Linked DNA regions of Macaca mulatta. The protein of the gene in region 2 interacts with the protein of the main gene of each other region in a pairwise test. Links are inferred from orthologs where the notes say so. Each region holds a gene or a part of one and is shown on either strand. Other genes may lie near its edges.

What was found.
Region 1: the proteins of MOCOS (region 2) and PARVA interact in binary tests that used the Homo sapiens proteins (3 or more experiments, as listed by UniProt). The two-hybrid records come from large-scale screens. The link is inferred for Macaca mulatta from reciprocal best matches to the Homo sapiens genes MOCOS and PARVA.

Annotation. Positions count from the first base shown.
Region 1 is NC_133419.1:52,943,800-52,947,977, reverse strand, and holds part of PARVA (alpha-parvin), read left to right. Parts: intron 1-1,096; coding exon 1,097-1,116; intron 1,117-2,665; coding exon 2,666-2,727; intron 2,728-3,370; coding exon 3,371-3,439; intron 3,440-4,178. UniProt on the Homo sapiens protein: Plays a role in sarcomere organization and in smooth muscle cell contraction. Required for normal development of the embryonic cardiovascular system, and for normal septation of the heart outflow tract.
Region 2 is NC_133423.1:56,324,133-56,328,817, forward strand, and holds the start of MOCOS (molybdenum cofactor sulfurase), read right to left. Parts: upstream 3,057-4,685; 5' UTR 2,414-3,056; coding exon 2,266-2,413; intron 1-2,265. UniProt on the Homo sapiens protein: Sulfurates the molybdenum cofactor. Sulfation of molybdenum is essential for xanthine dehydrogenase (XDH) and aldehyde oxidase (ADO) enzymes in which molybdenum cofactor is liganded by 1 oxygen and 1 sulfur atom in active form.

The sequences.
Region 1 (4,178 bases), on a different chromosome or scaffold from region 2:
CATCCGATTGAAGTATTTACCATAATTATCTTCATTTTAGAGATGAGAGACCTGGTGCCCAGAAAGGTTCATTAGCTTGCCCAAGGTCACTGTATGAGTTTGTTTTCACGCTGCTGATAAAGACATACCTGAAACTGGGAATGAAAAAGGGTTTAATTGGACTTACAGTTCCACGTGGCTGGAGAGGCCTCAGAATCATGACAGGAGGCAAAAGGCTCTTCTTACATGGTGGTGGCAAGAGAAAATGAGGAAGAAGCAAAAGAGGAAACCCTGATAAACCCATCAGATCTCATGAGAATTATTCATTATCACAAGAATAGCATGGGAAAGACCAGTTTCAATTAGTCTTTTCATGATTCAATTACTTCCCCCTACGTCCCTCACAACACGTGGGAATTCTGGGAGATACAGTTCAGGTTGAGATTTGGGTAGGGACACAGCCAAACCGTATCAGTCACACAGCAAAAAAATCACTCAATCACTCGGTGCAATTTGAACCTCAATGATCTGTCTTTAAAGCTTGTGCTCTTGATACTATGCTGCTTCTCTGCTATGAGTGTGGTTCCAGTTCCTGCACTCTTTGAGAAAACCTACCCTGGGTCAATGGCACGTGCATCTTGGTGGGTACTACAGGATGGACAGGAGAGAAACAAAGCTGACCTGCCCACAGCAACCTAGGCAGTAAAATTCTACATTGAGGGGTTGTCTGAGCTCACTCATAAGAATCCTAAGACTTTCTGGTTGGAAATCTTCAGCCCCCTGAGTCCGATATTCTTTAACTACAAGCAATAATATGATTTTATTTAAGGCAAAAAGTAATCCTTTGGGCATCACTGTGCCAGATTTTGCATTACACCACTATGTCCGTGTAACGGGGAAAAAATGGGTGGTAATGTGGTAAAGTCTCAATAATTGGAGGCCGTGCAGAATAAAATGTCAATGGAAGGAGGCTTTTTGAGTTCCTCAACCAAGGGCAGGTGGGTGGCAGGCAGCATGGGGTGGGCTTCCAGCAATGATGGAGTGTCCCTTCAGAGGATTGGCCTCTTGTAAGGGACAAGAAAAGAGTCACACTATTTTCTTTCTCTTTTTTCTCCAGGGCTCTTTCCGGGAGGCATGGTAAGTCGCATAAGAATGTCCCCTGGCACTGGTGGCTGCACTGGGGCTTTAGTTAATTCTGCAGCAGCTGGGAAGAACAGGCCCTCAGCTTGCCACCTGGATATATGTCTGCACCAGCCTGGCTGACATGGCCAGTTGGGTTGGGAGGGACAGCTTACTGGTGGGAAGAAGACTACCTACACCTGCGCAGTCATCTTGAAATTTATCAGGCCATTGACCTTGCCATTTATGAAGCACTTTTGCAGCTATTGTTGTTCACAGTAAACATATGAAGCCACGATTATACCCCCTGAGACCCCACAGCCCAAGGGTGAGGGAGGAGATTATGATCTTGGTTTATCCAGCACTTAACTCCAAGTTGTTTATTCTTTCCAGTACACTACTTGCAAGTGCTTATTTAGTGAATGATAGGTGTGCAGATGGATAAACCAATATAATAATCATAAAGAGAACCAAAAGTGTCCTCCGAAAAAAAATGTTTTGAGCATTTACTATGTCCTAGGAAGTATGCTAAAGTATTTCTAGATATTAAGTCATCTAATGCTTATAACATCCCACTGAAATATTTACTGTAATTATCCTCATTTTAGAGATGAGAGACCTGGAGCCCAGAAAGATTCATTAGCTTGCCCGAGGCTTCTGGATGGGTCCTGGGCATTTTCAGGGCAGGTTTGCACTAATTATCTCATGCAAATAAAGGAAGACATGCACGAACACAGGGACTGTCCCCTCTCACCACTCTGTCCTTCTAGAGACTGTCTTCTCTTCCTTCCCTCATCGCAGCTCCTAACATAGAGGCTGCAGCAAGGAGAATCCCTGCAGGGAACATGGCTTTGCTATTTTCTATGATCCTGATATTTACTGTGGGTAATATTTTGAAATATTTCAACCATGCTAAAAATTATTCCCTTCAGGAGACCATGTCGGAGTTTACAGAGCACGCGCATGCTTGTTCTCACCCTTCATCCTCATGACAAACCTAAGGGAGGGTTATTTTTAAAATAACATTCTATAGAAGAGGAAACTAAGGCACAAAGAGTTGAAGTGGCCTAGATCACTTAAGAGGAAGAGCTCATACCCCATCCTGGAGCTCCCTGGCTCCCAGCCCTCTTCTCTGTGCCCTCTGCCAGCTTGTTTGTCATGGGTCTCCTGTTTTTGAAAATTGGGGGGTGAAATGATTTAATATTTGGATAACATTCCCCCTCTACTGAGGTTCAGAAACACCTGAACAATAGCTAAATCAGGATATAATGGAATACAGTGAAGGGAAATGACTAATCCGGGGTCACACTGCCTAAGAGAACCCTGAGTCTGCCCCAACCCAATAATGTACATGTGCATGGACACAGACACAGGCTCCCAGGGTGAGAATCCCCCCAAATCTTAGTCCCAAATCACATTCCAGAGTTCCCAGCAGTCTGTACCCCAGAGGCTTCCCATCAGTCATTGACCTTGTGACCTTGAGAGGCCTGTGGCTCTGGGGCCCGAGGTGGGCTTCCCTGCCAGGAACCGGCTCTTGGGCTCCATGTTGTGTTTCCCTGTTTTTCAGAACGTGATGCCTTTGACACCTTGTTCGACCACGCCCCAGACAAGCTGAATGTGGTGAAAAAGGTGGGAAAGGGGTGTCTAGGACAGAGAGAGGGAAGCGAGGTGCAGCAGGACATTGGGAAAACCCATCCCTGCAGCTCGGGAGCTTCCTGCTGGAACTGATGGCATCACCTAATCTCTGCACACACACGGCTTTCCCCCTTGTCATCCATGTACCTGTCCGTTCCTTACTGAATGTTGCACCCGGGCTTTTTCCTCTCCATCAGCATGAGCAGCCTGTCTTCCCACCCAGGCTAACCCCAGCAATCCCAGTCTTCCCCGCTCCTCACAGAATTCCCTGTCTCCCTGGCCTAGGCACGTGTGCTGAAGAAAGGACAGGATGGAGAGAGCCAGTGGAATCTTTTTATCTCAGTTCCCCACTCAGACACTCCACCTGTCATTCTGCCTCTTGGGACCTCCTTGTTCCTTACACACCCTGAGTTGTATGGGACTGCAAGACCTAGAGCCTGTGGCCCTCCCTGTGCACTCAAGGGCCTTTGCAGAGAGACCTTCTGGGCCCGGGGCTCTTGGCTGGGCCTGATCCCGTGCTTTCACCCTCACCCTCGCCCTCGCCCTCACCCTCACCCTCATGGGAGTCATGGGGCAGCCGCGGGCTCCTGTACTAGTGCAAATCCCCAGCTCTGGGCCTGCTTTGCTTCTCTTTTAGACACTCATCACTTTCGTGAACAAGCACCTGAATAAACTGAACCTGGAGGTCACAGAACTGGAAACCCAGGTGGGTGACAGACCCTAGCACAGGTGGAGGCAGGGCCCTGCCCTACAGCCCCTGTTCCAAGTGGTCCACCACACATGGCCAGGAGGGCTTTCCCAGCTGAGGGGAATGAGGGCATGGGGATCTGTCCTACTCTGAGGGGTGGACTGAATCTCTGCGGATTTTTTTCCAAATTTTTATGGTGAAAAGTTACAAGAATGAATACTCATATACCCTTCACCTGGATGCACCGATTATTAGTATCTGGCCACACCTTTCTCTGCACCCCTAAATGCTTGAGCATACGTCTCTCAAGAACAAGCACATTCTCTTAGATAGCCACAATACGGTTATCAAAGACAGGCCATTTTAACATAATACATTAATCTATTTAGATTGAATCTTATGAAATTGCTGACATTCGACTTTTTTTTGTTTTTTGTTTTGTTTTGTTTTGTTTTTTGAGATAGAGTTTTACTCTTGTTGCCTAGGCTAGAGTGCAGTGGCAAGATCTTGGCTCACTGCAACCTCTGCCTCCCAGGTTCAAGCGATTCTCCTGCCTCAGCCTCCCAAGTAGCTGGGATTACAGGCATGTGCCACCATGCCCGGCTAATTTTTTGTATTCAGTAGAGACGAGATTTCACCGTGTTGGTCAGGCTGGTCTTGAACTCCTGACCTCAGGTGATCCACCCACCTTGGCCTCCCCAAGTGCCGGGATTATCGGCATGAGCCATCACGCCCAGCCGACTGTTTTTAACCTACT
Region 2 (4,685 bases):
GCAGTACCTAGTCCAATGCTCGGGACACAGGTGTAGCTGCTATTAGAAACAGGTGAATGACACCAAAGTTAAATGGCATCAGATCTTCTTCAGGAAAGAGAATTCCAGAGTCAGCTCTAGGTCATCCTTGTCCAGTTCTCATTCCAGCATGATGAGTAGTCATCATTCAGCACGAAGGCTTCCAGAGACCCTTGACACACATCTGTGTATTCAATATGCTCCCTTCACAAAGGCAAGGAAGTTCCCATCCAAATCACTAGGTAACACATTTCAGCCCTTAAAGCTTAAGCATTTAATTATTCTGAGCTACTACTTAACCAGAGAATTCTCAAACTGGCAGAAAAACTTCATGAGGGGAGAGGAGCGAGCGAGGAAGAGATTATATTATTTTGGTTGGTTTTTCCTGCCCTCTCTCTGGCTTGTTTCTAGGAGAAAAACAAGTGGACATGTTCCAAGACTCCCAGCAGTGGGAGGGGCATCAGGTTAGTGCACAAATGTCCACTTTAACCATAATGTAGAGGAAACACGGGGAACTTGCATTAAATAAAAGATGCCCACAACACTACCAGAAATACAGTAAGCGGTAAAGGAGTTCTGAGGGCCAGTCTGGCTGACACATCCCAATTTTGCATTTGAGGGGGAATGTACTGTTCTTTGAGGAACAGGAGTGAAACCAGGAGGGGACAAGAATATAGCTCTACTTTCCCAGGGTAGCATTGAGGGGAGAGGTTGGCCAATAGTAGGCGTGAGAGATCACAGCTGGAGGAGATTTAGGGGATTAAGGAGGTGTGGTGCTGACATAATTACTCAGGTAGCCTTTAAGAGCTGCTTCAAAGAATGGAGAGCCTCCCTCCCCAGCACCTGTGGGCATTCATAGTCTCTGTCTATTTCTGAGTGGTAGGAAATTTCCATAATTAACAGATGAGAGAGACAGAATACAAAAGAAGGGTGAGGAGCTGTCTCCAGCAGGTGACCCTGGGACAGGGAAGGATGAGGAGTGAATAGACAGAGGCTGGCAGAAGGCACCCCTGTCTCCCTCCTGACTCTCCCTACTTAGGAAGCCAGAGGAGACACACAGGAGGAGGCCACAGTTCTCACAGTCCCCAAAGGGAAAACACAGTTACCCTCCACAGCACTAGGAAGTGACCCGGAGCGCTGAAATCAGCTACCCAAGTAGTGAAACCTAAGTCATGGTTGCTGTTCTGCCCGGAAAAGGGGAGTAGTTACCAGTTGTTCATTGCGACAGAGCAGATGCACTCAAACCCCGGTGCCCTGTGCCACGAGGTGCCCACTTCACCTGCAGACCCTCCCTGACCGTCCAGTAGGCGGCTCTGGGGCTTGATGAAGCCCTGCACCCAAAGTCCCTGTCACAGGGATGAGTCACTAACTTGGGCCCGGGCAGCTGAGGGCCGGGTGGGCCAAGGCCAGATGGAGCTTGATTTGCAATTTCATCAGCCTGTTCCGCTCTGAGGAAAGGCAGGATGTGATCTTGGTCTTCTTATCTAATTCACAGGCGCTCCCTGTTCTTAAAGGTGAAATCGCACTGTTTGCTAATTCTTCTAGTCCTCCAGCCAACTGGAGCTCAGAGGGATTGTTCTGACGCTGCAAGAGTGAGGAAAATGAGGTTTCGAAAATGAAAGCTGAATACGGGCTAACCCAGAGGAGTCTGCAGAGTGCAGCCTTGGGAGGCCCCTACCAGAAGGCCTTGGCCTCTGGGTGCCAACCTGGCGCGCCGGCAGGGGTGCTGTCCCAGCCCGGGCGCTGGCGGCCCACGCACCGCTCCTACCCCGGGCGGACATCCGAAGGGTCACGGCCGCTGGACATGCTGTCTTTTGCAACCCCGGCCCCAGCAGGCCCTTTAGAGTGAGGGGTCTCCCACAAGAGAGGGCAAGGACCATCCTAAGCCCTCTCGCGGAGGGCGGGAAAAGGGGAAGAGGGCTGGGTCAGTCCTGCCCACTGGAAAGTCTGAAGAGTAAGAGTAGCAAGAAGCCTTGGGGCTGCAGGTGGGACCTCAGGGAGCCATATCTACGAAGCGGACGCGTGGACACGTCGCTCCTGGAGTTTTGATTCAAAATGCGCCCCAATTTATTCAAAATGCCCCAGTGGCCTCTGCGCACTGACCACCCCAGCTCCCTCCCTCACTGCTGAATGGCCAGGACCTTACTTGACAAATTAGGTAGCGCCGCTCTCACTAGCAGCAAAAGAGCCGTCCACGTCGGTTTCAGAAACCTCGTGTCCCCACGCCTGCCCTCCCTCCCGCCTCACCTGCCAGGCGGCCGAACTCGCGCGCCCGCAGCTCGCGCAGGCTGCCTGGGCCGTAGCCGTAGCCGTAGGCTAGCCGCGGTGCGCTCGTGTCCCGGGACCCCGCGAAGGCCGGCAGCTCCCGCCCCGACTCCGCCACGGCGCCGGCCATGGCTCGGGTTCGTCCATCCAGGCTGACCCGGCCCGGGAAGTGCGCGAAGCCTGCCCCCGGCGACTCCGCCCCTGCCGCGCCTCCCGGGCCGCCAGCCTGCAGCCTCTCGGAATCCACGGCCTAGGTGTGGCGCCCCGGCCGGACTTTCACTTCTGGCCCGCCCTTTTCCCACCTGGCCACGTGAGCGGGTGCCAGTCTTTAAGCAACCTCTCGATGGGTCCCACGAAGATGTTTCCAGACCCTTGGAATGCTAAGTTCAACTTTAGCTATGTTCTGCGGAGAGGCTGGTGGAAGAAGCAACGAGGTGATCTTTCCTGCTTGGCATCCTGGAACCCAGCGACCCTCCTCCTCGCAGGGGTCCCGGGACCCTCACCCTCTCAAGCAGGTACCGGCGTCTTGCGGGGGCGGGGGGAGGGGGCGTTCTCGGGTTGCTGCTACCCAGCGGGGCGCGTGCTTGCAGTTTGTGAGAATGCGGCTGAGCAAAGGTTAGAAAAGGGAAAAGATCAGGGATCCACGAAGCTAATGAATTCTCAGTGGCTGCACACCGTCGGAACCGGGAGGCTCGGGGGCTTTCCCTGGAGCCGGCACAGCAACTCCACGTGAGCTGAGCTTCCCCTCCCTCCCAACCTCCCAACCGCGCACTGGGCCCTCCTCCCTGCCTCCCCACCCCTGCATCCCGCCCCGCACTTCCCGCACGTGGGTGTAGCCGGGCCCTCTCTACTGAGGCAAGAGTGCCCTAGGAAAAGCCGCCCCTGTCCCGGACAGGGAGTGGAATAAGAGCACCTCCTCCCATCCCTACTCGGGCCTGCACCCAGAGCACCGGAGACACAGCGGCTCTGTCTTGGACAACAGGTGCTTCAACTGGGAGGGCCTGGCCAAACCTTATGCGCGGGAAGTGCGGAGCGGGATGCAGGGATGGGGCGGCAGTTGCAGACGTAAAGCCCAGGCATGCGGTTGTGGGGTGGGGGGAATCTCACGTGTGATCCCAGGTGCGGAACCCGCTGCTGGGAATGGGGTGGAAGCAAAACAGGTACTGCACGCCCAGGCGAAGTGCCTCGTGGGGAGTCGAATGTCATGGGTGGTGGACAGTGCGGAACCCGCTGCAGATGGGAGGCAGGTGCTGGGGGCTCACGGGAAATAACTCAGAGGCAGGCTCCGTGGAGAACCCAAGGCGGGCGATCAGGTACAGGCGGCCACAGGCCCTGGAAGCATACAGCGTGGGGACGAGGTGGGAAGAAGGCGTATGCCCCAAGAGCTCAACCTGTGCTGCATCCAGGCCAGCTGTCACCCAGGGTATGGGCTGCAGATGCCCTAGGATCCTTGCTGAAGCATGATGCGTACTGGTGCCCAGCATGAGAGCCATGGGAAGGCAGCACACAGCCCTGGCTCTCTGGCCCAGGCCCCTGATACCAGGCCAGAGAAAGGCCCGTCACTAAGAGCTCATTTTCCCCTGGCCGGAGACCCGGGGTCTGTGGACTGCAGCGCTGGAGTCCATGCCCAGGTACCCGTATTCCTCAGCGGCCTCTGCCCACTGACCACCCCAGCTCTCTCCCCCACTGCTGAACGGTCAGGACCTTACTTGACAAACACGCATAGTTGTTCGAGGAGGAGTGAATGTACTGATGGATGGATGCAGGCTTTTGCTCATTGACATCACTGCCTACCCCACCATCTGCTTGCCTTCCGGCCATGCTTCAAGCAAGCACTTTAGATGCTGGACTGTCTTCTGCGAATGTGGCTTTGGGCAGCGCTAATAACAAGAGCTACATACAGGGCCTCACTGTGTGCCAGGCACTGCACTGTGTACACTCTTACCTGTCCTGGTCGTTCAATAATCAAATATGCAGATCTAGGAGGTTGCTCTTACAGATGGGGAAGTTGAGGCAGAGAGAGGCAGAATAACTTGCATAAGGGCACACAGCTAGAAGATAAGCTAGCAGCTGGGAAGTCAGCCTCCAGAGCCCAGGCAGGGAAGTGTGTTTTGCTAACTCTCTGGTGTGAGCCTCTGTGGTTTCCAGGGCCTCAGTTTCCCCATCTAAGTTGAGAGAGGGGTGGGGTTGATCCTCCCAGCAGCTGTTCAGTGTGTCACTCCTCGCCCCTCCTTTTAAAGCCCTGCTTCCCAGTGAGAGTCTTCCCTAGGCCAGGGTTTCCAGGCATTCATTTGCATGAATCCCCTAGAGAGCCTATTCAAAGGCAGGTTCTGACTCTTTAAGTTTGAGGTTCTGTGTTTCTAAGTAGCCCAGGTGATGCTGATGCCTCATTCATGAATGGC